4 linked regions of the Styela clava genome follow. The protein of the gene in region 4 binds, or shares a complex with, the protein of the main gene of each other region. Links are inferred from orthologs where the notes say so. Each region holds a gene or a part of one and is shown on either strand. Other genes may lie near its edges. The genes, in order: integrator complex subunit 7-like, integrator complex subunit 12-like, integrator complex subunit 2-like and integrator complex subunit 1-like.

Region 1 (6,917 bases), on a different chromosome or scaffold from region 4:
TGTAGCAAATTCCCCCGAATGTGAAGCAAATTGAATAGTTGCATATATTGCAGCTTCCTGCTCAACACGATCATGCGAATCCAAACCTTGTCTTATACTGTGGTGAACACTTTTTTCATCACTTATTATACAAGCAATACTGCCCAGCATCCTGAAAAATTACCAAGTCATTAACAGCTACCGGTAATTGAAATTGGCTAATTCAAATCTCATCTCACCCCCCACGCACACACACATCTACACCAGGGTGATTGACAGGGGTCCACCAGGGTGATTAACAGGGGTGTAGCCAGAAATTTTCATGGGGGGGGTTCTGAAATTTTTATTTGGCAAGTTAGATCGAAACAGCTAGCGGGACTAATCGACTCTAGAATACGCGTGTTTTTATTAGTCTTGAGGGTCTAAAAAGCATTTAAAGCTACGAAAAATTGCTATCTATGATACAGAAAAAAGATTTTATTTTTTTTACATTTCAAAAGGGGGGTTTCGACCCGCAAAACCACCCCTCTGGCTACGCCACTGGTAATTGATCAGGCAATTACAAGTCAGAAAGATCCCGGTCCTCCCAAATATTGTTAGAGATCAGTGGCAGCTCGTAAAGAGCCTTGCTAAGAGCGAACAAAGTGTGTGAGCATCATATTAAATAAAATAAAAAATGAGTAGTGAAATATAAGTAGTTAGCATGATGAAATACATTTGGTAAGGAATATAATTGTATTGATCCAGCTTTCGAAATAGGCCTACTAATGGTTCACAATGAATAGATTAAGATCCTAATTGCAACAAAAATGAACAAAAAAAAAATATTGAGATTGTATGCGATAGTCGGTCTGGTAGAACAAGGTTGAGGAACTCATTTTTAGAAAACCAACCTTAAAGTTATTGCTCTTGCATATGGATCATTGCTATGAATAACTACAGAAATTCTTCTTCTAAATTCTGTTATGTTGAGAATTTTATCAAGATGTTTATTGCTTTGCTGAGACACTCGAAGTATACAAAGACGAAGAAAATTATTCCTGAAAAAATAATTTGTCAGTTTGTCGATGTTTAAAAACCGAGAATTTCTATCCATAAGTATATACATAAAAATGATCGCTGCGATTTGTTCGAACTAACAAAAACTGTACCTACTTCGTGACAAATATGCTTTTAGAGAAATGATAAAAACCCTAATGTTTTATTAATCAAGATTCAAACTGAAAACCTGAATACGACAATAGATTGACTGCGCTTCATCTAACATCAAGTATCAAAATACGATGCTTGAGGGAAATATATGAAGAGATTCAGTTATAGTAGGCCTATATATATAAATACATATGTTGATTTACACATGTCAAATAAAATTGCTACACATTTCATAATTCTTCATGACTGTATCAGTGCATACCTATTTTCATTACTTCAAATGCTTGATCATCATTAATAAAAAAGGCTGCTTTACGCTACCGTTTTTACTAACACAATTAGTCTATAGCCTTAACCAAATTTATTTTTAAGAAATATTCATTTCTGATAAGGAATCTGATGTTTACCCAACACGAAACACATCTGCCAGCTTCAAGAATGCAGAGTTGATAAGAATTGGGAATGGAAATCTCTCAAATAATCCAGGAAATCGAACAATTGCTTCACATTGCTGGCCAACTTTTTGAGCACGAAGACCTTTGAAAGAATATTGAATAAAATAATATTTGAATATCAGGATACTGTGGTACTGTTATATAAGTATAAGTATAAGTTTATTTCGACTCCATAATCAGCAAAACAATAAAATGAATGCTAAAAATAAATAAATAAAAACTGATTATGAAATCAGGAGAGCGAACAAAACCTTAGATAAGGTTTAAAACGTACAGAATGTATATAAGATGGAAGGTTTTGCCAAGAAGATGTGGTACGTGTTCACTCACCTAAAATAATTGAAATATTTCACACACGCTCACACGCACCCACACACACAACCATATAGAAGTTATTAAGTAAAGGGAACATGAAAAATTACATACTGGTAGTTAATAAAAAATAAATAAATAAAAATTACTTGCCACACCATATGTTATGTTACATAAATTAAAAGATAGCAAAAATTCATGGCTCGGCGGTGTGGCGCTTCGTGCTAAGCATTACTGATATGCTCTGATTGCTCTGCGTGGATTCTCAGGTTCGAATCTTGCGGGGGATGGAATGGTGGTCGGTACAGCTTCCTCCACCATCAAGTTCATGCATCGAAAAACGAATACCTGACTGACTAATCCCATATTCGACATGGACTGGTAACCGAACGGGAGGCTGTGGTTCATCAATGGATTAAGCCGTTTTATTGACTTTGCTCTCCCCCAGGATAAATAAGTAAATCCTATCCTATATCTAACTCTTTACACTTACCAGTCTGCCAGTGAATTGCTAATATAGGACAGTAGGAACAGACTATTTTTGCACAGAAACAAGTAAAATAACTCCATATACTGATATACCCGGTACTGATATACTGATATATATACTATTTTCAATATTGTGTAAATGGTCATACAGTCACAAGTGAGATTGCCCATGTTATGTATCCATTATTCTATTTTGTTACATAAACATAAATCAAAACAATCCAAAACGTAAGCATACAAACAGTAGGCAAATATATTAACAATAGAATTTTACTTTTATGCCATGTTAAAACCTTATTATGCCATTTTTTGTACGATGGCGAGTTCAAATAAATTATTTTATGTTATTTATTTGTTCATATGTTGTATTCATTGTACTACTGACCTAAGAGTAGATTATTACAAGCAGGCTTACCTTTATCAAGTTCCATGAGCGCCGAGTTGGCATCTTGATTTTGTTCGTCCATCATGATTGACTTATGATTTGTAATGATAGGCAGACGCCAAAATATTCAAAGGAAAAGAGGAAGCCTGTTTACAGAATGGCTAGCGAAATGCGATGTGCTAAGTAGATCCTCTCGCCACGAGCAATCGTCTTGAGTGAAGTCATGCGTGCAGGTATCGTGAAATCACGTGTTATAATTGAAAGAGAAAAAAAGGGTGATCGTTCTCTTCGCGGGGGAATTCGGTTTGCGTATTCCATAATACTGTAATACGTACCGTAATACACTTGGGGAGGAATCCTTGGCATGGTTATGTTGAGCATAATTCAGTGATTTGGGGTTCATTATCGTCGACATATTATTATTATTCTGTGACATCGTCGTCCATAAACTTCCGGATTTTTTTGGTACACTCTCTGCATTTGAAACGCGATATCAGGATACTGGGATATGTGCTAAGTTAAAATTATCACGAGGATATAGCCTATTTCTGTATTTGAATATGGATAGCAAAAGTATGATTGCATAGTTTGCTGCAATGCATAAATTTGTCACTGAAGCACATTGTACAGGGCAGCTCTCTGCCTATGATTGGTGATGTAAAAATATTGTAAGAAATTGAAAAGTCTTAGAACAAACTTTTGTGCAATGAATAATTCATATCTGTTCCAGTTCACAATAATATCTGAATATGTGATGTAAAACTGTAATAGAGTAATGCCAGCTGTGTCTGTTCAATAGTTGCAGATTATTTCAGTATATACATATTTGTTTGGTACTTCAGTAGGCTACTGTAACAAACCAATGTTGCAATATGTCTGGTTTGAATGATGACTTTCCTGCGATTGATAGCACTGTACTGGATGATCTTGAACGGCAAACAGAAAAACTCTCTAACAGCCTTGGCAATATAGTTAAGAAACTGACTAATAAACTACACGAGACATCAGCAATTACTGTGGCTAATTCACAAACATATAGCAGTGCAATTGAAGCTATGGGAGTTGAGATTGATGACTCAATGAAATCGATGTACATGCTGATTGCTCATTGTGAGGAACTTGATAAAGCAATGGTTCCTGTGTATAAAGTTGGTCAAAGCATCAAAAAAATTCAAAATTCTCTGCTGATGCTAGAAGCTCAAGTTGCTCAAATACCATGATTACAGTTTTTTTTTATTCAGACTAGGAATCTTATGTATTAGTTTATGAGTCTTCGATAAAGTAATAATAACTAATTCTTAATATAAAATAATAAATATAGAATCATTTTGTTTTGACATTCAAATTTTTTTTTTATTTCAAAAAATTCCAAATTTTACATTATTGTTATGAATTGTGAAATACAATAATATACTGCTGTACTGATATACTGCTTATATATTTAATCAAATGAAACATGTCTATTCAAGTGTTATATTACATCAAAGCCATTTTTAATAGGCATTTCTATTTGCAGATTTCAACAAGTAATATTAACTAATTTGTAATTTCTATGCAAGTGTTAGGACAGAATTATGCATTTTATTGTTTTACCTAAGTTTTATTATTTATTTTCGATGGTTTGAATTTGTTTTTGCTTTGTTTGATTATTTAGGGTTGAGCCTGATTATTAATCTATTTATTTAACTTCGAATAATATTAAAAATATTAATTTGGTTTTACATCTGACAATGCTTTGATCTCAGTTTCAGTATTGTATTATATTCCTAATGGCCGAGGTAAGTTCCAGTAATTCAAACGATCATTCCCACAATCGTAAGGCTTTGACTGTAGGAACAAGATATTGTGGAACTGTCACAGTTTATAAAGAAGATAAAGGATATGGATTTTTTTCGGTCCCTAATCACGATAATGTATTTTTTCATATGACGACAATGCGAAATTGTGGTATTACATCAGGAATATCGAGGGGTGATAAATTTTGCTTCGATGTTAAAGAACACATTGGTCGTGATAGTAAACTGGATTTTAGAGCAGAAGCAGTTACAAGACTTGAACGAAATCATCAAATGCAGAACCAGGATAGCAGGAAACAACCTCACAAGCATGATAAACACCAACATGGCACGTATAGTAATGGTAACTCCGGAGCATTCGTTTCGATCCCACATCCTCATGATGTCAAAGTTCACGGTAAAAAAGAGGTTTCTTCGAAACATGGTGAAATAGTTGAAAAAAATTTGTACAGAGAAAAGCACGAACGGAGACCAAAACCGAAGCCTATAGATTTAAGCTCAGGAAAAATTCGTGTTGGTCCCCCATGCGTTGTTCCTGCAATGAGGAAAGGGCCAATTGTAGTCTCTGCCACTGGGCCTAATTCTGCTGGAATGGCCCCAAGACTAGAGGATCCTGAAGTTGTGAGACTGAAAGAGAACATTGGTAAGAAAAAAACACTTTTTCGCAGTTTAAAACTAGATAAACTTCCAGATGGTGGTAGAAGACTGAAAGATGAAATAAACAATTTGGAACTTGAACTGCAAAAATTATCCATGAAAAGCAAAAATAAAGATAAAAGTCATGATTCAACTCCTTCAAAACTCATTGACAAAGAGAATCAACTACCTCTTTCAAACGCTGATGCAATGCCTAAGCATACACGACCATGGTTAGAGTCATATTCAAGAAAGCCTGATGCTCAAGGTGCTGTAATGATAGCACCTCCTATGGCTTTTAACTCTGCTCCTGATAGGAAACTTACTCAAACAAAACTTACGTTCCCAAAAGCGGAACCATTTGGGGCGAGAACAGGAAAATTAGATCTTAGTGCATATGATATGGGTCCAATGCAATTTAACGATGGTCCGTTATATGGAGGAAGAATGACAAGTGCTCGTCTGACTGAAGTCCGTCAGGTAATATATTATACCATAGTTGTACTTCTAATCTTCTTGAGAATATTTCATATTGTAATCTAAAATTTAAAAGCTTAGCTTTTTATTATCGTTTTTCATTCAGTCAGCTGGTCAGCATTTTTATTGCCTAAATGTTTAAAATTATTCATACCCTAATTTTGGGTAGTATTTACTATTTAGTATCCGAGATATAACCAAATATTGAAATGAGTTTCATGATTATTATTATTATTCCCAGATAACAAAGGCTGCAATTGAGGACCTTCACAAGTCTCTGGAAACGAGACCTGAACCCACAGGAGAACTGGATGATCCTGAAGGCCTGAAGGTTAGATAAATGAATTCCATCAAAAGATGTATGCAAGTGTGGTCCATATAAAAACATTTCTTGATACTTGGTCATCTTCTAAGATTGAGTAAGAAAATGCAGTTTTGTGTAAACGCTAGGGCTGGGAATTTCAGGGAAACACCTCAGCATGACGTTTGACATAATAATTTATAATATTAACTTGTTACGTCACAATGGCTGCAAAGTAATTTCAGGTGGTCTTATCCCAGTATCAATCAAAATTATTCATGAAGCGAGATAGTTTCATGATTGCTCTTCTGCAAAATGATATGCAGCATGCTTTGCACATATGGAAGTATTTTAGTAAAACCCGATTCCATTATTAAATGTTATTTATGTGACAAATTTTCAGTGTTTGATGTGCAAATTCTATTTTGAGATACCATAAGAAAAACAGCATTACCTGCACACTTGTTGGATGACATTAAGTAGGCCTATATGATTTTGCAATAAAATTGTGAACTATAATATAGGCTACTTCGACCGAAAACTGATTCTGAATTTATCATTGTCAAATTTTCATAATCAGCAATATTTTTTTGAATTAAAATGCCGCAGAAGATAAATTTGCGATGACGTAATCATTTTTAAAAAATAGTACATTATAAAGAGGATTTGTACCCAAGATGTCAGTCAACGGTTAAAATAAATCAGGACCTCCTGAAGTATACGCACCAAGATGGCCCACAACCTGAACTCAGGTTGTGTACCAGGTTAGGGTTCAGGTTGTGCGACATCTTGGTGCGCATACTTCAGGAGTACCATAAATTATAACCATGAACGGTGAACCAAAACGTATATTGCACATATACTGAAATAAACCCTGTTTCTCTACAGGTAACATTAATGACCCATCAACGACAAGCACTTGCTTGGTTAGTGTG
Region 2 (7,013 bases), on a different chromosome or scaffold from region 4:
CATAAATATAAAGAAAATTATTTCTCTGTTGTTCTGAATTATTCCTGCCATCAAAAATTCACTATATTGAATATTGGTATTTGAAATGTATCCAAATAATTTCCAATTTTTTTGGACAGCCAGGGATAGCTTCCCTCACCTATCTTCTTTTACCAGTTGCAATCACTTTGATCAGTCACATAAATCAGTTACAAATATTCCGGCCAGTCATGCTCTATTACCTCCAACCACTATTATTCCGACCAGTTACACATCATTAACCAATTTCATCACCTACCTTCCACCAGTTGCTATCACTTTGGTCAGTCACATAAATAATGTCCCCTTCATCAATTGACAACTCATCTTTCTGTTGCGCTTCATAAGGATACAGAGCTCGAAATGTCTTTACCATTCCTGGTTTTGGAGCTAGCCTGGGAGGGGGTGGCCTTGATTTCGAAGACATTTTTGTGGTCGTTTAGGGGTTAATTAGTTTATAAGACTATTGTTATTTAATTGAACCTGGAAAAAGCAGAAAATTAGGCATTTGAAATTTAATAACAAAAGTACATAACATGTAGAGTTTTTGATGAATTTTAAAACAGGCTTGGCGCTTTCATTGGGACTACAGTTGTCATTCCCAAGAAAAATTCACAATACAACCAACCATATACATTATAACATCATTTTGAACCTATAACAAATATCTAAACAGTAAACACAAAGAAACCAAAAATTTGGGATAGTTAGCAGATTAGTTTTGAATTAGTTTTTCAAGTAAAGTCCTATGTTATGTTATTGAAAATGAAAAGCTCAGAACAATTTTATTTTAAGTCTTCCAATTACTGTTTTGTTAGCACCAGAATTTTTTTGAATGGAAATTCGCTCAAAGCAAGTTCACATGTAATCACTCATAAATCAAAGATATCTGAGTGGAGTCCTGGGCAACCACCAGGAAGTCGAGAACTACTGGGGCTATAATGAATTATAGAGTCTTGTTTCGCCAATCACCGAGTCATTACTGTAATATTGCGAAGTCATGAATAAAAAATCATATCTTCGATTTCTTTGAATTTAACTTCGCTTTTTTCTTCATGTTTTGGAATCTTTTCTCCGCACTGGCGAGACTAGTGGTTGCTGCCGCTTTAGGAAACATTGAAGATTTAGAAGTAGAAATCCATGACGATGGATTTGACTTATGTGAACTTGATTTTGACGAACTCGCCATTCCTGTCGGTAAATCAGCTCCAAGAGCTTCGGCAAATGCATCCGATACAGCAAGTTTGGGCCCAACTTTTGGCATTTTAGTAGATTTATCACGCTTTTCTTTAGAAGATAGAACCCCAGATGTAGTAGGTTTTACTTGTTTTGTTGTCGCTGATGGTTGGGGAATTGTTTTTCCACTCAAAGCAGCCCATCCAGATAACGACCCCCCAACTGATCCATTTCCAGATGACTGTAAAGTCGATTTTATTTCATTCCGCTTAAAAGGCGTTACAAAAGCTGATTTATTTTTTGGTTCGAAAGAATTATCTCGAACCAGATTAGGTCTGGCGACAGTAGAAGGCTTCGAACTAATCTGTTTTGCAACTTTCTTCGTACAAACTGAGCAATTCCATAAACAACGAGGATCATTTGCGTCTTCACTTATCGGTGGCTGATGGCAATCGCGATGATACCAATTATGGCATTCCTGGCATTCAATCGTATTTCCTTTATCATTAGAGAAGCCTTTACAAACGACGCATGCAAGCTCGTCCATCTCAATGGCATAATCTTTATCATCTGATGCCAAAGGTGACCGTTTCGACTCGTTCCCACTTCTAAATTTGTCGTTCGATAAAAATGCTGGTGACTGGCTATCGAGACGAGACTTTTTCGAGACCTCTTGATCAAGTTCTAACAAATCTTTTTGTATTTTTTCAAATTGTCGTTTCTGGGCTGAATCTTTTTCCTTCTTCTTTGTGTCATGTGTTTTCACAATTTTCACTGAATGTTTCCCAGTTTTCACATTTAACGATTTGTCTATATTTGATTTAACGTCTTGTTTTTTTTTTAAACTTTGCTCAATGGCATCATCGAGCATTCGTTTCAATTTTGCCGTTGAATCTGGGCTTTTCGACCACAAATAATCGAGTGCTTTCACAAACATGGGATCTAACTCATTTGTTGCAACAGCCATTATCAATTAGACTTTAAGACAAAATTAGAGCTAGTTATATTTGATACTGTAATACAACAACAAAATAGAGAATTTTATCAATTAGGAATGCCATTCTAAAAAAATAAGAGTTAAAACTCAAAAGACTGAGGAAAGTTCAGAGCGTAAGATCAGGAGGATAGAGAGAGGCATAACACGAAACAGGAAAGTGTTGCAGTTCAGCAGTTGACGACGTCATCATTTCACGCATGTGAAGGAGAGCTTGACAAAGTATCAGGAACTTTCTCATTTCATACCTACCGCTACCTTGTTAGACTAACACTTAGACGGTTAGTTGGAACTGTAGAACAACACCAAACAGACCATGTCAGCATGTGCCCAACATTCTGTCATTCACTGTATTACAGTATTAAGACATTCCAGCATTAAGTTGTCTTATGTTTCTCTTTTACCAGAAATTTGAAGTACTGAAGACTGAAGTACCGTACCTAGATCTAAAAGTCATACAGGTACCGGTATCGTACTATTCACCGATCCTTTTTTTTTTTTGCCAAATTCAAATCCATTGCCAAATTGGATTTTTATGAAAATTATAGTTTTGGTTTATCCAAATATATATTTCAATTTTATTGCATGAGGCCCAAATTTTATTTTGTAATGTAAATAGCATGGGGTTCCATGTGATGCAGTAACCATTAAGACATAGACTATAATTTCCATTATCATCACTTATATAATATACAATATAAATAGTCAATTTATCCATCATTAGCATTTTTATGAAAAACAATTTTTTTTTAAAGAATTAGATAAATAATCAGAAAAACACCTACGGCAGTACGGTATCATGCCATAGGTGATTTCTACATTTTCCATCTACCGGTACCACCGTATGTAATCTTCTTAAAAAAAAAAAAAAACTAGACATTTCACACAAATTAATAAATACGGTTCACCGATTCTAACCCTCGACATATTGTGGCTCGAAATATGAACGAATATTTTTAATAGAAATGCCCCAGCTGATAAAATTGACGACAGCCAAAACAACAAAAATCTGATCTACTTTCACTTTGTGAGAAAACTGTTTGCGAGAATAATATTTTCCAGAAAAGGCGCGGAAAAAAAAATTCGAGAATGAACTTTTGCGCGAATATAATTTTGCCGGCTGTAGGCTATTTGTTGACCAAAATATATTTTACGCTTAAGTGCTTATTCGTATAGGAAAAAGTTACGAATAGTTGATAGTTATGTTCTTGATGTTATTGCTATTACTTGTCTATTTAATTACCGGTTATACCGGTAACGACTTGGAATGGTAACCGGACGAGAGGCCATGGTTCGCCATATGGATAAGCCGTCTTATCGGCTTTCCTCTCCCCCGGGATAAATATGTAAATCCTATCCTATCCTATTTGCACCTTTACAGCTACGGACATTTTTTTTTAATTTTTTCTTATTAAAAACATCACTTTTTATACACACGATAACACATAAATACAATTGCACGTAAAAAATGAGTTTATGATACCTTACCACTTCTTTATGTGGTTCGACAGCTACGGACATTTGCGCCCGCAGACGAATAGTTCATTAAAGTTGAAGCAACTTAAATACCTTCACTGGTCATTTTTTTCATCGAAATAACTCGAATGCATTATTAAATCGCATACCGCAAGTAGGGGTGATATAAAGAGGTAGACTCTTCCCACGGTAGTGTTTGTTCAATACACACTGGCAGATACAAATATGTCATGAAAAATACATCGCGCATAAGTAACTAAATGCACAAGAAAGCAATGTTCAAATATACGGACACGAAATTCGCGCTTCGGTAACGATACCGTCAACAAGTGTACTGAAATATATGAGTACAAGTTATACAAAGGAAGTCGAAAAAGAAGCGTTTTATTTAAACAACAGCAACAAGCATTCAACCCAACGATTTATATGTACAGTTTGTTTTTCAGCTGAAAAAAAGATATACAAATATACATGTTGGCAAACGTGCAGTTTTCATATTTTATCCAAAAAAGAGAAAGAAAGATGATACTATTATTGGATCATTTGGAGAAACAATGCTTCGGTTTATCAGTCGGGATATGTATGTACCGTGTTTCCCCGAATCTACCCTGAAAATAATACCTAGCCTAGGGTTGCCATACCGTCCGGAAAATTCCGGACATGTCCGGAATTTAGGGTTAAAATTTGCGTCCGGGAGGAATTTTGAAAAATGCTCAAATGTCCGGAATTTTACTGCATCTGCAATCGTAATGTGCACACTGCTAATACAGAACATTGTTATTTCGTACCGTGCGCATATTTTTACTACGAGGTTGTATGGAATTTTAATATAACAGAGCGTTTTCCTTATCAATGGTGTTAAAGTTGTAAACGTCTATGAGAGATGCTTGGAATACCTGTGCAAATGGATGAAACCAATGGAAGAGTTTACTTGTTTCAAATGGATAACCTTGAACGAGATACCAAGTTGGAAGGATGTAAAGCAGGGGTTGGCATCCTACGGCCCGCGGGCCAGATCCGGTACGCAGAGCAATATAATCCGGCCCGCGACGCTTCACTGGATTATAGTAACAAAACAGCTGTTTTAACGATTATATTCTTTACGTAACAGAATTAATTTTGCGACACGCGTAGGCTAAAGTATGTTATAACTCACAATTGCGCGTTTAATGACCCTATAATTTAATTATAATTACACAAATGGCAACAAAACGCAGAAAAGTTGATGCTTAGCGCAAATGGTTTGATGGTGCAGAAAATATTCAAATGGTCAGTCTTCGTGCGCTGCTCTAAATTTAACTTCTGATCTGTGTGAAAAAAGTGTGATTCATCGGCTATCCGTTCGGTTTTCAACATTCTAAAAATATGAGGCCCGCCAATGACTTGCAACCTTTGGTTTTGGCCCGCGAGCGACAAAAAGTTGCCGACCCCTGATGTAAAGCCTTGCCTGGAACATCTGATATAGTAATAAAATAGTAAACGGGTTGATGTGGACGATGATAAATGCTTTGACCAATTCTGTAACTTGAAGCAGTTTGTGGAAAGTTACCTACAAGACGAAGAATTTATTAAACTGCCAACGCATAAGAAATGGTGCAAATATTTCGATCAGTCTACGAACATCACATGCCACTCCGAAATTTTAAGGATTGAACTGTTTTTCTTTGCTGTTACATTCCACAATGTCAATGTAGAGAGAGTCTTTTCACTGATGCAAAGTCAGTGGACTAAAGAGAGAAACAAGTTGCGACTATAAAAGGCATGTTGACTCTCCAATATAATTTCAAAGATATGCACTGTAGTGAATTGTTTTCATTTTTGAAATCAGACAAGAAGAGAATTAGATCTTCAGAAAAATATGCATGGTCAGAAGAGTAAATTTGTAGTGATTGTCTTTAATTTGTTTTAAGCATGTAAGTGCTGTTCTTCCGTTTCGGCACAATCTAATTCTCATTCTTATTTTTCACTCTGAAGTTGAGATTTTTTCAGTCGACGGCCCGTAGCTATATTTAGAGTGTGCTTACCTGCCTGGTGTGAGATTCTGCTTGTGACTGAAGACAATACTTTTCATTTCGGTAGCTGGCGCTTTAGCATGAGTATCGTACAACGTTAGCATGAGTATCGTACAACGTTTGCAGGCTTAGCATTTCGGTAGCGCATATATATGGTCTCATGAAAATAGGGACCTCCAGAAAGAAGTATGCGCACCAAGATGGCGCACAACCTGAACATAGTTTTTGTGTACCGGTTAGGACTAAGGTTGTGCGACATTGCCGACATAGTCATGCACTGTCCGGAATTTTGCTTCTTCAAATATGGTAACCCTAACCTAGCCTGAATTTTAGGAATGATTTTAATATAAGCCCTCCCCTTAAAATAGGACCTATTCAATACCGCAAATTTTTTTTACCTGGTCGATAGCAAGAAATCTCTCCCATACGTTATAAATGATTAATCTAAAACGTGTGAGAGAGAAAAACGTGTCATTAAGTAATGGATATCAGTTTTAATATTTTTATATTTGAAAATATCCTAATTTTGTACTTTCTAATTTTGTTTTTGATAAATAAAATTATAAGACATCCCCAGAAAATAAGCCCTAGTGGTATTTTTCGAAATAAAATTAAAATAAGACACTGTCTTATTTTCAGGGAAACACGGTATGTATGTTTTATTTGCCTCAAAAATGTAACAGTATCTGCCTAATAATTAAACAGTAAAACAGAGACGGGATACATGTTCAAGACCTTATTACCTTATTGGCCCAAGACACAGATGTACGACATGTACCCCTAGCAATTATAACAGCAGTTTAGGACTGCTGCGTTATACTAGGACAACAGACATAAAATTGACTATACAAATAAAAAAAAATACACAAGACAAAGAGGTACGACACAACGACAATATGTACAATAGTCAGTTTATGGCACGTCCATATCCCAGGTTCCGGTGTGAAAAGATGGAGACAGGGTATGGATCGCTGAATCGATATGTTTTTACACTATGTCTCACGAAACACGTAAAGATTTGTTAGGGATATAAACTTGCCAGAAACCAACGTTGGATGTAAAAGATAAATGTAGAAAACCTTTGTTTGAACTTGAGTTGTTAATCATATGATAATAGCTAAATAGTTTGTCGGTTGGTAAAAGTGCTAGGTGGGTAATGACAAGTGGGGAAATCTGCATTGTGGTCACGTGTATGCGAACCGCACTGCGACGAGGAGAAATCCAGCAACCCTTTTGGCCGGCCTGACCTAGCGTTGTGGCCAGCACGGAAATCTCTTGGCGCTTCCAGCGACTCATTTTCCATAAATGCAGTTATTGGTATAGTTATATGCTGTAAA
Region 3 (7,541 bases), on a different chromosome or scaffold from region 4:
GCATGCCTCACTTGATAATTCAAGAATCACATGTACACTTAACGTTCACATTCAAATTCACATGGAAGCACCAAAAATACAGGAAGTTATAGGTGTAGTTGATGTGATACACATACAGCTTACTTATCTGACAAGTAGGTTTAGAAATCTGGAATTGCATTATAATTATCTTGAATGTCCTGCATATAATAAACGATACTGAAAGGCAAAGATTTTGACAGAGTTCAAATAACCATAGCTGATGGAAATATCAAAAGTGATCTTACCAATTTACATAAAACCTTTCCTCCATTGGGAACATACATCAGTGCTTCTGCCATGTCCAATATATTTAATAATGTTGGCAATTCTAACAAACAGAAATAAATACTTTGCTAAAAATTTCACTTCATATTAGAGACAAGAGAGCTACGCACAAATATATGGACACGTTAGACCAGAGCGAATCAGTCCTTACCGGTACCTTTGACGCTACCGGTACCCTCAAAAAAGTTCTGAATTTCCAGTAGCAAGAATTTTGCAGAATCAAAACGTACAGCCAGTCATGACACTGACTAAAATCCGTGTTCCCATGGATAAAAAATAATACAGCAAAATTTTAGACGAAATATCAAATTTCATAGAATTCACGCAAAATTTTGAAATAAATAAAAGTAATAGCCTTCTAGCGAAAAAATTAATCTTTAACCACTGAAAATTTCAAAGCAATTGGTCCAGTATTCGAAGAGAAAAGCGACTTTTAAAAACGTGTCAAAGAACAAGAACAACAACAACATAATATTGAAACGATCGTTATGTCCACTAAACGTGTCCAATAAAGCTATGTTAAACTTTATTCATACGGGAATATGGTATACACAATCAGTATGACCATTGCAAGTTGCAACATCTATAACAAGGTTTAACAAAGTTTACAACATCAACAATAAAATCAAATTTACAGAAAGTTGAGAACTTTAGCACCCAAATATCGCTTGTTTCTTATTTTACCTGCGACTGCAATACAAAGAACATCAGAAACAACTTGAAGATAAGCAATACAACTAAATAATTCAGATTTTGTAGCAAATCCATCATCATCTAAGACTAAGGATTTTGATCCTTCACCTGTTTAGAAGAAATATGGCACCATAAAATTATCAAATTTGTATTTACCGTAATAACTACAATATATATAACTATGATACAAATTTCATATTAGGCAATGAAGTTTTCTATTAATTAAGGAAAAGGTTAGACGTAGTGCATCAGGCATAGCAGCAAAAATTCAAATCATTCTGATAGTTTTATTATAATCTTGTAACCTGAATTTGAAAATGCAACCAGCAATGGCATGATATCTGAAATCAGTAAACGCAATTTTCGAGCAGGTTCACTTCTTTCAAATTCTAAGATGAGACCATGTTTTTGGAGATTGGATGTAATTACACTTCTGCCTCCAGTTGTAATTTTTTGCCTATAAAACAAATTAACAGAAGTTATGCCTTTCTTGAAAATCTTAGATAGGCCTGTATCATAAATTACACACTGAATCACACTGATGTCAAAATTTTCGAAAGGTAGTATTCAAAGTTAAGCATATATAAAAAGCTTCGAATTATTCTTATACCATAATTTAATCGTGCATGCCAAAAGCTTAAAGAAACTTTTCTTGTATTAGTCAAAGTTACTTGTGCAAAATATTACAGTTGTATTTAATGATAGTTATGCAAATATTTCTATTTCCAACTCGATTGCAAATTGACTTTGAGAAAACTAGCATGAAAATATTCCACTCCCACTATATTTTTATACATGAAGAACGATAATGATTGGTTATGCGTAGAACTAGGCATTTTAAATTGAGTATTCAAATGGAATAGTAAATTATTTGAATCGGTTCAGGCGAGAATTGTGAATCGTCGGCATCTTGTTTGTGTCCACCCAAAGAATAAGATGAATCATTCATTTTTTTATTTATTGTGCCATATTTTTAAAACACAATTGTGACATATGACTCTTTTCACCTGAGTAAGTTATTGATGAGGCATGTTTCTTGTGCGTGAACACTCATCGAACTGTCTGAGTGATAGATTTCATATTTTCGAAGTAATCGAAATTTGATTTTGAAATCATCAGATACAGTATTCGAAAATGCCCAGACCCAGTTATGAGACTAGTAGAAATTTTACAAATGGCAATCTTACTAACAGTAACACAAAGTTGAGTTTAAAATTCTTGAAACAAAGTAATGAGGTTAATCTCAATGTTTGGTGATTGTGATGGTTGAAATGTAAACATATGCATAAAAAATAGAAGAATAAACACCTTGTTTTTTGTTCTGTTTTAGCATCAATTTCTAAAGCATGAAAATCAACAGATAACAGAGCGACAATGTCATTGACATCTTCTATTCCTGATAATAACTGCATTAGATCTTTCTGATTTTCTTCCCATCTAAAATAAAAAATATTGAAATGAATTTTTAACGAACTCAGTGTTAGATAATATCACAATTAGAATGTTTTATGAACTATAAGCAAAGATACATACGATATATGCCTAACAACGATTTCAATTTAGATAAGCTATTTGCGTTTTTACTTGTATATAACAATACATGCGAATGCCGAAAGACAATTCAAATTATTATTGCATTTGAACAGCAATTTCTCAATAATCGATATTTATACTAAAAACCAAATAGAGAGTAAGATGGGAATGAATATTCGAGCATTTTTATAAATTTCTCGAATAAACAAATTTGAAAAAATATATTCACATCTTCATATTTTACCTCCATGTTTTGTCCAATGAAGAACACAACAGCATGCGACTGAGAGAAGGTAGCAAAGGTCTGATGGATGAAGCAGGATTTTGTAATAACGTATTAATGTCAAGATTTGCATATGCTTCCAATATTTCAGGAGCTATATTGGCGAGCATGATTTTTTATTTTTCTTCTAAAATGCACATATGAAAACTACACTATCTTCTATGTAAATCTAAATAAATATAAAGGTTGCTTCAAATTTAAATGCTTATTATTCTGTTTTATGTTATTGAAAACTGTTGTCTTGTTAATGTATAAGAGGCTCATAGCACCACTCTCAGACTCTTTCATATGTACCGTACTCGATAAGTTGGATAAGATGGGAATCCAAATGTGTGTTAGTTTGCAATATAATAAATTATGCCAGTAGATGTTTAGGGGGTTCAAGTTAGTGTAGTGTTTGACAACTTTCGAGTAAATTATATGCTATCGAATTACAAGCATGGCTTAACTACACTAAACCTGTAAACCCAGCAACTGTATCAAGAAGTCTGCGAATAAAAATACCATAATTTAGATGGGCATATCATAAACTGTTTTATTTAAAACCTGTGTTACATAATAAAACACACACACAAATATGGGGTTTAGTGAAGTAAACGCTGTGACTGTTCAAATAAAGCCAAACAAACAAAAATATGTGAATTTTAATGTGATAAAAAAAAGTATTCAGCTTGAAGTGACGCTTGGGAGACCCTGTTGACAAACAAAAAGTTCAAACACACAAAAAATTAGTCAATCTGGTTGATTGGGGTAATCAGAGTTAAATTTAATTTTGGCGTAATTCGTCCATGATGAGTTTTTCGCGGTTTACTATTGACAAGCAAAGTCAAGTAGCCTAGCTTAGCGTCTTAAGTGATATGCAGGATATGGCATGCAGAATTTGTTGATCTCTCAAAAGTCTTAAGAAAAAGGGGCGCATGACGCAGAAAAAAAATTATTGAAATAGGCGTTGGTTTAGTTCAAATCAAATCTACTCAATTTCCAGCCAAGCAGCTATGTCCCATGCAGTTTAGAGACACATTTATTTTAAAAAATGAAAATTTGGATGGTGTTTTCACATCCTATTTTTTTTGATTGGCGTTATTAAATCACTTATAGCCTAGCATTCTTTTTCACACCACATTTGTGTTTGGTGATCTTTATGCAGTTGCGGGCTTACGGCGTTTACTTCGCGAAACCCCAAATATGAAATATAGACGTCTGAAGGACAAGCAAATACTTATTTTAAGTTTTAATCACGAAGAATATCGGCTACCGTTTGATTATTTCTGAGCATATTGTCTTGCGTTTATATATGCTGCGAGTTTTCATTTCACAGTTTTGTAGGTGAAATTACCACGGTCAGACTTGACTGCGACTCTCGACCGATGAACAGAAAAGTGAATTACACTACCGGTACAGTATTAGAAAGCGTATTTATAAAGTTTAATATAACCCTGCATGTCGTACTGGCCAGTGCGGAACGACACGTGCAATGTTTTGTTACGCTTTACTAGTTATTTCATCATTCATTTCGTTCGCGTCCGCGTCGTATTGTCGGAGTAACGTCGGCCCGATCTTGATTAACCCATAACAAATAATTTGTGCAAACCAAAAAATTTGGGGGGTTATGATATTATTAACATACCCATTTTTACAATGTGCATGTACATAATTAGTGTCTTGGATTATTATAAAGCTAGAGAATGTGATTATAATGAGGATTACAATCATATTTGTATGTCCTTTGTTGAATACAATATTGGACAACAACTTAGTACATTTTGGGGGATTAGAACTAAAAATACATGTTTACATAGATTTTGTCCTCAAAGTGAGTATAGATTAATATTAGAATTTTTAAGAAAGCATAACATAAGTAGTACAGATATAAAAGAAGATATGCATAAAACTATTTATAAAAAAATTGTTATTTCTATGAATGGGGACAGATTAATTTTTCTACGCAATTGTAATTTAAATATTGCATGTGAGAATATTCATAATAATATTCTGGCAAACTATATGAAAACCTTTAATTTCAAGTTAATGTGGGATATTTTACCAGTAAAAACAAAACCTGGAATAAGAAATATAGCAGGAAATGATATGTGTGTGTTATGTGGAAAAGAACCAGAATTTGTTAGCCATCTATTTATGAATTGTGAATATTTCGATTATGTTTTTGATTTTATGGAAAATACTGTAAGGAAATTAAATAATGCCAGGCTTTTGAAAAATTATGAAACTTGTGTTTCATTGGATTTAAGCTATTTGTTACATTCCAACATTACAAGACGAGATTTAGATATTATTGTTTATTTAATTTCAATCACTAGATATAAAATATGGATACAAAGAAATTCTGTTATATTCGAAGGTAATCCCCCTAATCAGCACCTAGTTATCAAACAAATAAAAACTGCAATCACTTACAGACTCAACATTGAAAAAAATAGAAAATCACTAAATTTTGTCAGAGAATTTGAAATACTAAGGAATTGTATTTGAACTATAAATCTAGTGTGTATAAATTTAGTATATATTAAAATGAACATGTCTAATATATATTTAATTTTTTACGTTTATTGTACATAATCTAACTCAATATACTAAAAATTGATGAATTGTATGCCGATGCGATCAACACCTCAAACACTGATGGAATGGACATATGAAAAATGAATATTGGATTATTTATCTTATGATTGCTCGAATGGTTATATACTTTTTGTTATAATTTATTATATTATCCCATTAAAAAAAAAAAAAAAAAAAAAAAATACTACGACGACTTTTTTCTGTAAACTGCGTTGCATGTCATTCTAATTGTGCTGATTTTTAGCGTTTGTATGAATATTAGAAGAACATTTTTTTCCGTGAACTTAAAAGATTTGGCGAAGGGTTTGAAATTTGGTCCAGCAACTAATTTACAAAATTGTTTGCTGCGTAAAAATCAGCAACGGAATTCGCTACTGTTGAATTGGGAAAGATATTTTGCGTCCCCAACTGCTCGGGTGAGACCCGTTTTATTTTGTTATACTGTCTTTATACAAAATAACTGTCTAATTAGCTATAACAGTCAGACAGTAGGCAATACTGCAATAACGAACTACTGAACTAAGCAGATAAGTTTGCAAAATACCTACCGTCAGACCGTACTGCCGTACGGTACCGTACCTTCGAACCTTGCCATATTTTGTTAATTTCCTGATTTCAATAATACCTACTGTAATATCAAATAGTAGTCTATCTATGCTATAGGGCAGGTATAATTTTATTTTTACTCCATAATCAGCATACTGACATAAATACCAGGCAATATAAAATATTATCCAACCTGATTTAGGTACTGAATTACAGAAGAGTAAACAGAATAAAAAAGTTTTTTTCTCACAGAAATGTATTGTTCAGTTGTTAAAGACAGTGCCGTGTGTTTATTCACCTAAAATTTTGTTAAAAGTTGTTGATTCTTCGAAACATATAGATTGAAGTACCGTATGCTAACCTTACAACTTCATTTGGTTCACTGATTCCTGGATTCTGTAATTGCGTTGTGCTAAGCCTGTAAGCATTAGGAATACGCTTTCCATCACACCTCTGATTACCCCGTGGGAGTTACTCTGATAATAATTGTGATTCTCATACCGAACATCCATGGACTTCAGGACTTTGTAACCAGACAAGAAGCCCTAGATGGCAATAGGATTTTCAACTTCCCTAATCCTAATTGCTGAATTTTTAATAGCATCAGATTGCAGATTTAAAAAGTTTAATAGTCTCGTTGAAAACATAGTTTTAAACGGCGTATTCTAATTTCTCCTATTTGTCTGACAATTCACTGATTTGGACGTGAATTATACAGTTATATGTCCGTACTTGAACACTATTCCAGTATAATGTTTTGATTGGTATGCTTTATTATTATATTTTTTCAATCAGGTTCCGAAGAAAAAATTAAAAGAAGCTGAACTGCAACTAAGATTAAAAGAACAAGAGATTTATCGAAAGAATTTAATAAAACATTTGTCTCCAGACATAAACGAAACAATGGATGAAATTGAAATGGAAAAACAAATGCAACCACTGCGACTCTCAGTCAAAGAGCAGGTCTGTTCAACTCCTCTTCTTTTCACTGTGTGTTTTAAGTGTTTGGTTTTGAATCATGTACTTTTTGAACCATATTTTAGTGAGGATTGGTATTATATTTATCATATTAAAGCATTGTTTTACAGGGTGACATTGTTCGATCACTAAAAGAAAGCAATGCTGCTGTTGTTGATTTACAACAAGCTATCGCAGAGTTGAAAGTACGAAAGAGAAAACTTCAAGAAAAGGAAAATGAACTTGCATCCAAAGAACAGTTTCCAAGAAAAGTTTTTGATGATACTATCAAAAGAAGATTCTTTTATGGACAAGCATTTGAATTATATGGGGGTTTGTATGAATTTAATCGAAATGAATTTGGACACAGTGCTTTTTTTCTGTGCTGAAGTTTATTGTGCTTAAATGCTATGTTCTGTTCTAGTTTAATGTTTCATATCATGATTTGATATATCTATCTTTATTAATTAGCAATAATATGTTATACATTGGAAATGCCACCCAAGTACATTGGATATCATATCATTATATCTGCATTGCAGAACAATATATTTCTTGGTTTTCCACCATTTTATTTAATCTAGGTGTCAGCGGATTATATGATTTTGGGCCAGTGGGTTGCATGTTGAAGAATAACATGATT
Region 4 (6,857 bases):
AAGCTAAACAAGCTGTGACCATACTTTCATCACTATCCCATTTAATTGTCTCAGTAATTGCATCAACTGCTTTTGAATGAACAAAGTTGTAGTTAGGTAGGGACACAAGTTGATATAGCAGCCACTCATAGTCTTCTAGAACAGGTTGTACATGGCATATTTTTGGTTCATTGGTATCCATGTCCTCATCCCTCAGAACGAGAGATAGAGCATGCTTTGCTCTCAGTCTTGTTTCATATTGTGGGGAATGTAGCCTGCGTAAAAAATAGTTTATTGGTTGCCAGGATTCTTCAGTTTGTTGATTTCGTAATGAATTTTGAAGTTGAGCGACAATTTCTTTCTCTTGTATTAGCTTGTTTTCTGCTTTGCTATCATCAACACTGCTCGCCATGAGATATTCACAAAGGCATTGTACTGGAAGCATACTCATATCTCCTTTGGCAGAGCCAACCAGACTAGACAACCATGGCATTGCCTGGTCTTCTCCGTGTCTATTAATGATGTATAATAAGAAATCTGGATTTCTAGATCTGCATAAACCGGCTCCAACTTGAATCTGACTACATATCAATCGAGTCTTGTTTAGTATATGTTCAGGTGGTCGACGAGGTGGGCCTTTTGTGTCCATAGCAATAAGTTGAGAAAGCAACAAACTTGTCTCCTCTGTTACAGCAAGATGTGTGGTGGCTGCTGCCAAATGTGATTCAAACTCAATAATTTCATTTTTCTCCATCTCCACCATTTGCATTTCTTTATTCACAATTTGTGATCTCTCATTTTCATCAACTACTGTTGCCAGTGGAAATGTGAAATTGTTTATGATTGCCATCTCCATGAAACTTCTAAGAATTGGATATTCATTCCACGCCTGAAGACCTATAGAGCTGGGATTAAAAGAAGAAATAATAAGCAAAGTTTGCCAAATTGACCAATACAGCAGAGAAATTGCTAAAGACGGTGGCACATAGTCAGAGGGAAGATGGATATTTTCAGGATGATGATATTGAGCGAGAGATAACAATGTGTCAATGACATCCCTTCTCTCGACTGGAATAGGGTTGAAATGTGGTTTCGCCAAAGCACCAGCTCTGTGAACTAATTGACCAATAAGCTCAAGAGTCTCTGCCGGAGCGATTGGATGTTCGTGTGAAAGGCCAATGACAGCCAGTCGCATGATTGTGTCTTCCAGTAATGGAACTTCCGCACAGTGTTTTACCATCATTGCTCTTTCAGATTCAGGTGGCCAGTTATCCTTCATGTAGTAGGTTTCAGCGGACTTCAGAAAAAGCAGTTTGTGAATATGCTGTCCCAAATCCGGTGTTGTAATTTTAGGTAAAAGAAGGGGAACTGCAGTGGCATGTAACCACCAAACAGCATCTCGTTGCATTGCAGCTAAATCCAATTTATGGCCATGAAAAATAGTATCATGATCAACTTCTGATGTGGGGGTGGCCTTTTTCGTAATAACCCCAATTGCCTCTTTTACTGTCGGAGAGATACTTACTAACATCAGAAGACATACTAAATCAGCAGTGGAAGAAACAAATCTCTCTTTATGAGCCTGATCCAAATGCATGAACTTTTCACGATCTGGCTCTTTCATTATACCAAGGGCAAATGAAGTAAACTGTACATCATGCTTTGCAATTCTTACTATTTCCCTAACAAGTGCACGAACGGCTCTTAAATAATCTTCTTTTTGAAGTAGAAGATCTTGGCAAACTATTGCCAAAGTTTCTGCAGCAATTTTGGGCTTATGTTGTAGAAGAGCAGCTATAACAGACATGTTTGTAGGATTCCTGGCACTGGATAATTCATTATAAATAATGTAGCTGAACAATGTATTGATTGAATCCTTATGAGCATCTATCAAAATTTTTAAACACTGAATATAATGATTTAGAAGTGCCTTGGTTTTGAGACGCATTTTAACCAAGCAAGATATAACATCAACATCATCCTGATTATGATCTCGGCAGTTAACACATATCGACATAAGTAGGTCTTGTGTAGATTTTGCTAGCTTAGGATTTTGAGACCACATTTCCAGTTTATGAGCAGCTATAACACGTATCTCCGATATTCCACACATTGCAATTAATGTTTTGATCAAATGACGACCTGAAGCAGCACCTGTTGGGTCCTGTGCAGAAATAGTGCCCTGTCTGCGATTAACTCTCTCTCGAACCATATCTATTGCATAAAGTCGTACAAGTTCTGCTGAAGCCATGAAACGCTTAGAAACATTTTTTTCATCTTCAGAAGATTCATCTTTTTCCTTCATATCCACATCTTCTCCAGTATCAACTTTATGTTCTTTTGAAATCCGAACGGTGTCAAAAGCGGTACTAACACTGGATACAAATTTTTTACACTTGGGATGATCAACCCATATTCGATCACTCAATGAGTCTTCAATGAAAACTTTTACCAAGAGTGAAGGCCAGCTATAGTTCTGCTCAAATCCTGCAAAGAGAAGATTGCAAGCGAGCACAGCAGAAATGCTATTCCCTTTCGATTTAATATATTCCAATCCGACATCTTTTTTAAGAAGTCCCACTAGACATTCAACTACCATTTCACTGGTAAAAATAGAGGGCTGTTTTTTTGCCAAAACCATCAATGTATACACAATTACCTGATCAGGCCGGAGTCTGTTTGCTCGTAAAACACGAATTGCCCCACAAACTAATCCATCAACCGTTTCCTGATCTTTGGCCTCTGTAACTTTCTTTAGTAAATCTTGGGCAGCAGCATCAATGTATTTGACAGACGGTTCAGGAATAGTGGGTGACATACGAGATTGGTGAGAAGACGTTGCTGCGGCTATGGTGTGGAATGTAGATACCTTCTTTATCGACGGTAGGCTTGGTTCAGGGGCTGCTCTCTGAAGTTCAGTTTTGCTTTTTCCAAGTGCAATTAAATCCGCAGGTGGCCCTGGACGAAGTCTCTTAGGAGGCCCGCTGGTAGTCCGTTTCATGATTGTTAGACAGACAGACCAGGTATAATATACTAAGATTCAACTATTATCTGTGAAAATGAGGTTGAATAATAAATTTTAGCATGCTGTAACAAACAAAAAAACATAGCAAACAAAAAAAAAAAGTAGTTAAGAAATATGCTATTACCACATTCCTGATATATTAGCTTGGTTATGAAGACAATGTAGGAGCAAAAGATATGTGCATATTTTTTTCTTTGTATTTTCACTACTCCTGCATGTCCCACAGTGCTGATTAGCTTGAAGCCATCACATGGTGTTTTTCACTTATATAAATGTATTACCACTAGCCCAAGGCTCGATTAGGGATTACCTCAGGGGTTTTTATTCTTCTTGGTCAAGAATGACCCCAATGAAATATTCCAGAGGCACAAGGAACCACTGTACAATTGATTACGGTATGTGTTATCATATACCGATAATATGCCAATCTAAAAATGTGAAACAACAATTTGACGCGAAACACCTAAAGGTCTCCTTCACAGAACACGGGGGAACACACCTATTATAGGATATTATTGTACTTGTGTATCTGATTATATATGAATGATATACATAATTCATAAAATTTTAAATTAGACTTGAAACTACCCCAAATTTTAAAAAAAGTAGGAAAGACAAGTGCATTTTGTATATCTGTAGCCTATCAGGTAAACAATATATAGTAAACAAACATGAGACGAGAGGTACCTGTCCAATCACTTTTATATTTGTATTGGGTGGAAACTGACTCTGATGAGTGATGACATGATCCAAAAATGTCGTATCAATGCCTCTCATTTTTATTTCTTATTTTTATATGTTGCATATAAAATATAAACCATCTGTATAACAGCCTATGTCTCATTGGTTTGGCAAATGCTGAAATGATATATTCCCTCTCTATAAGAAATTTCACAATCTTATGTGTTAAACATGAAGTTTGATTTGAATGTTTAAACTTTCCTGTTTTTTGTCTTTTATGTTTGTCCTCTCACAGTTTGTATTGTAATATTTTTGTACTATACAGCTACCATCTGACCGTGAGGAGCAAAAATATCTTATCTAAGCTGTAATGGTAATCAATTTTTATCAAATTTTGCCTGCATGGTCTACTATAAATACATTGTTCTGTTGTTACATAACATAACGACATAGAATTCACCCTTTTGATACCCGACCCCCGTCAACCCTTTTAGATACTAACATTTACAATGAGCAGATGTTTCCCCGAGCATCGATTCTTCTTTCCAAACCAAGATTTATCAATACATACTGGTATATGCTCTTCATGCGTGGTATCACACATATTTACATAGTGGCTTTGACATTCCTGAGATGTATACATACATGCAGACATGTGTATGACTGCAACCTAGTAATTATTGCACAAGTAGATAGCAGTTTACTGCCCCATTGTGCATATTTCAAATAAGTAGATATTATGCTCTTCTGTGGTTAATGAACAGGGCTAACTGGGTTATTCTGAAGGTAAAACTTAAATGAATTTCATTATACAGTTATACAATCCAGTATTCAGGTATTCTTAATCCATATTACTAATTAGATGTGAGAGAATTTCATATTGTGAATTTTTGTATTATATGTCAGTATGTCATATATTATAGTTAACAAAGCATGGCCGCTGAATGGGAATCACAATACCGGTACCATTTTATTATAACAACCAGTAAATTTTTATTTATAAATTCTTGGTTTGTCTCAAATGAAATTGATATACATAACTTGTTAACGTGTAGGTGTAGACTAGTGATCCAATTGTTAAATCATTTTTTATTCTGTTATCATAAAACTTACTTGCTGCATTCTGATATCTGGATATATACCCCCACTCGCCACTCTTTAATTGCGGTTCATGCAGGCTGCAGCAATGGTTAGAAACTGGCTTTTTTGGCCCTACAATTAGATTGTAGTGCATATTAGGTTTTTCCGGATGTATTAACCAATATCTTGGTCTCTCCTGTCAAATTAATACACTGTTTTATATATATTTCATGTCTTATCATTCTGCACATATTTCTAATCATTTTCTGATATCCCACCTATACACAACATTAGGTCTGGTGCTATGCCATCCTCGTAGCCCAAAACTGCTCGGCTAGATGGCTCTATAAATTCATATGATGCTCCATGATATAATATAACTACATTTTTAATTACCGATAAGCGGTTGTTATAGATCTTTTTTTTTTTTTTTTTTGCCAAATTTAATTCCAGCGCCAATATGGAATTATTTAATTATGTTTTTGAAGCCAGTTAAATTTTCAGTTTTTGTTTTATATAATTTTTTTATTTTAACTTTAACTGTGAGCGTAATAAATATTAGGCCGTGAGCCGAGGCCCTGAAAAACGCCTAGAAAGTGAGTTTCGTAGCGCACATCAGGTAACTACCTGAAGATGATTTTAAAATGTTCCTTAAAAATTTAGTAACAAATATTGCCTTGTTCCCACTTCCAAAAGTTGCACGTTTTACGGAAAAGACGCTTTTACTACAAGAAATATGTGCTACGATCTGTCCTATATTCTCTACATTTTCGGCAATGAACAATGACTTCTGCATGACGTAACAATTGAATCGAATCAGCTGTTAGCGAGCGGATGAATATTAGTTATTACTGCTCGACCTTGCGTTGAGTTGGGCAGCCTTTTCATAGCCCTGTTTAGTTATTATTGGTTAAGTTATGCTAAGACGTTGTTGAAAAATGTATGAGTAAGTTATTAAACACTTGTAGATCCTTACCACGGATATGGGCCGTGAGACGAAGGCTTGAAAACGCCCAGAAAATGAGTTTCGTAGCGCACATCTGGTAACTAAATAAATTCTTCAGTTTTGTGTGAAAATGAACATACTGAACGCATTACAGCTTGTTCCACAATCCTGATGCGAAATTGAATATAAGAGGTTCCCGGAAATTCAATAACCATAAGTTTACAACACATACATAAGAACTATGCAATTCGAGAGCCCTACAGCACACTAACACAAATGTATTCCTGTAATGTTTTGCCTGACCAAAATCGGACTTCCTCAGTCAATCATAATTTATTAGGTAGATTACGAAAAATATGGTATACATGTAACCAACAACAAAAAATACTGTAATTGTGTGACAGGAGTCGCGAGTGACATCGAAAGCAACGACACCAACAACGCTGATTCACATTAGCAAATAAATTTTATGTAATAACCACAAGCAGTTTACAACAAGAACAGCATAAAAAGCTACATCCATTTTATAGAAGCTATTAAACGTATTTATTTTTAAGCAATGAAGTCACAAATTAACATCGTGAGCACGAAAACACAAATAAATCAGTTATTTCTCACTTAGAAATTTACCGGAAAAGTCAAGAAAATTAATGTACAATATGTACATAACATAGTGAACAGAAATATTACAATCAGTCTTTTTTTAGTTTATGTGGTTATGTATTTGAACAAAGGCAATATTATTTCTAGAAACAGGAAAATCGACTTTTCCTCTATAAGTGTACTGTGATTTTTGCAGTCAATACAAAAACAAAAATCTGTCCAATTTAAGTTGATTTTGGCACACTTGCATAAATTATTTTGACTATTTTTCTTACACTTGCAGTTTGCCAACTCAAGAACTGATTTGAGAGCCACATGCTTCTTCAGTGAATCATTGTTGGTTGGAGGAGTATAATCCTTATGTTTGCCAGTGTTAAATAGACGTGCCCTGGTATCATTTACATTCTTCATATCCTCTTCATACAGTGAACAAACAAATTCCTCAGCTTTATTTATTAATGCCTCGTTAACCTCAAAAGATCTTCATAGTTGAGAAAAAAATGAATTGAAAACCTCAATGAAGTCTCCAACATGAGTTTGATG

The links.
Region 1: the proteins of integrator complex subunit 1-like (region 4) and integrator complex subunit 7-like are in contact, whole or in part, in a cryo-EM structure (PDB 8RC4), measured with the Homo sapiens proteins. The link is inferred for Styela clava from reciprocal best matches to the Homo sapiens genes INTS1 and INTS7. Residues at the interface, in NP_001073922.2 of Homo sapiens: Leu1378, Gln1381, Gln1382, Gly1385, Gln1386, Ala1389, His1429, Phe1430, Leu1431, Cys1433, Pro1434, Arg1437, Gln1438, Cys1440, Gln1441, Pro1476, Ala1479, Gln1480, Met1483, Leu1484, Gln1487, Arg1552, Pro1554, His1555, Leu1556, Glu1557, Glu1558, Pro1613, Ser1614, Gly1616; in NP_056249.1 of Homo sapiens: His150, Asp151, Leu187, Ala188, Thr189, Pro190, Val191, Lys194, Thr223, Ser224, Tyr225, Pro226, Ser227, Thr228, Asn262, Asp263, Pro264, Arg265, Lys266, Pro303, Tyr304, Gln349, Glu350, Cys352, Tyr353, His354, Asn355, Arg357, Ala360, Gln384.
Region 2: integrator complex subunit 1-like (region 4) and integrator complex subunit 12-like share a complex: the UniProt entries of both Homo sapiens proteins name them as parts of the integrator complex. The link is inferred for Styela clava from reciprocal best matches to the Homo sapiens genes INTS1 and INTS12.
Region 3: the proteins of integrator complex subunit 1-like (region 4) and integrator complex subunit 2-like are in contact, whole or in part, in a cryo-EM structure (PDB 8RC4), measured with the Homo sapiens proteins. The link is inferred for Styela clava from reciprocal best matches to the Homo sapiens genes INTS1 and INTS2. Residues at the interface, in NP_001073922.2 of Homo sapiens: Gly561, Ile562, Ala563, Trp564, Asp565, Lys566, Gly567, Ser982, His1055, Met1056, Thr1058, Pro1060, Glu1095, Arg1096, Thr1098, Ile1099, His1102, Leu1107, Arg1225, Ser1250, Phe1251, Gly1252, Ile1253, Tyr1285, His1288, Glu1291, Val1292, Gln1293, Glu1295, Arg1296; in NP_065799.2 of Homo sapiens: Pro40, Leu54, Lys69, Leu72, Arg73, Leu75, Ser76, Gly77, Val78, Glu79, Val81, Asn82, Val85, Gly125, Thr127, Leu128, Glu131, His132, Glu166, Val172, Tyr173, Glu176, Arg322, Gln325, Gln326, Arg329, Gly400, Lys402, Thr769, Met772.

The regions. Positions count from the first base shown.
Region 1 is NC_135253.1:7,957,956-7,964,872, reverse strand, and holds the start of integrator complex subunit 7-like, read right to left. Parts: upstream 3,004-6,917; 5' UTR 2,858-3,003; coding exon 2,803-2,857; intron 1,669-2,802; coding exon 1,539-1,668; intron 1,020-1,538; coding exon 873-1,019; intron 152-872; coding exon 1-151. Other genes in the region: BLOC-1-related complex subunit 6-like, read left to right, coding at 3,645-3,992; transcription termination factor 2-like, read left to right, coding at 4,542-5,684, 5,923-6,012, 6,871-6,917. UniProt on the Homo sapiens protein: Component of the integrator complex, a multiprotein complex that terminates RNA polymerase II (Pol II) transcription in the promoter-proximal region of genes.
Region 2 is NC_135253.1:23,033,425-23,040,437, forward strand, and holds integrator complex subunit 12-like, read right to left. Parts: upstream 2,230-7,013; 5' UTR 2,162-2,229; coding exon 1,031-2,161; 3' UTR 502-1,030; downstream 1-501. Other genes in the region: osteoclast-stimulating factor 1-like, read right to left, coding at 278-445. UniProt on the Homo sapiens protein: Component of the integrator complex, a multiprotein complex that terminates RNA polymerase II (Pol II) transcription in the promoter-proximal region of genes.
Region 3 is NC_135252.1:11,598,746-11,606,286, reverse strand, and holds the start of integrator complex subunit 2-like, read right to left. Parts: upstream 3,011-7,541; 5' UTR 2,926-3,010; coding exon 2,777-2,925; intron 2,437-2,776; coding exon 2,308-2,436; intron 1,457-2,307; coding exon 1,305-1,456; intron 1,108-1,304; coding exon 991-1,107; intron 350-990; coding exon 267-349; intron 1-266. Other genes in the region: glycine--tRNA ligase-like, read left to right, coding at 5,647-5,811, 6,737-6,904, 7,030-7,231, 7,483-7,541. UniProt on the Homo sapiens protein: Component of the integrator complex, a multiprotein complex that terminates RNA polymerase II (Pol II) transcription in the promoter-proximal region of genes.
Region 4 is NC_135257.1:9,680,820-9,687,676, forward strand, and holds the start of integrator complex subunit 1-like, read right to left. Parts: upstream 3,027-6,857; 5' UTR 2,981-3,026; coding exon 1-2,980. UniProt on the Homo sapiens protein: Component of the integrator complex, a multiprotein complex that terminates RNA polymerase II (Pol II) transcription in the promoter-proximal region of genes.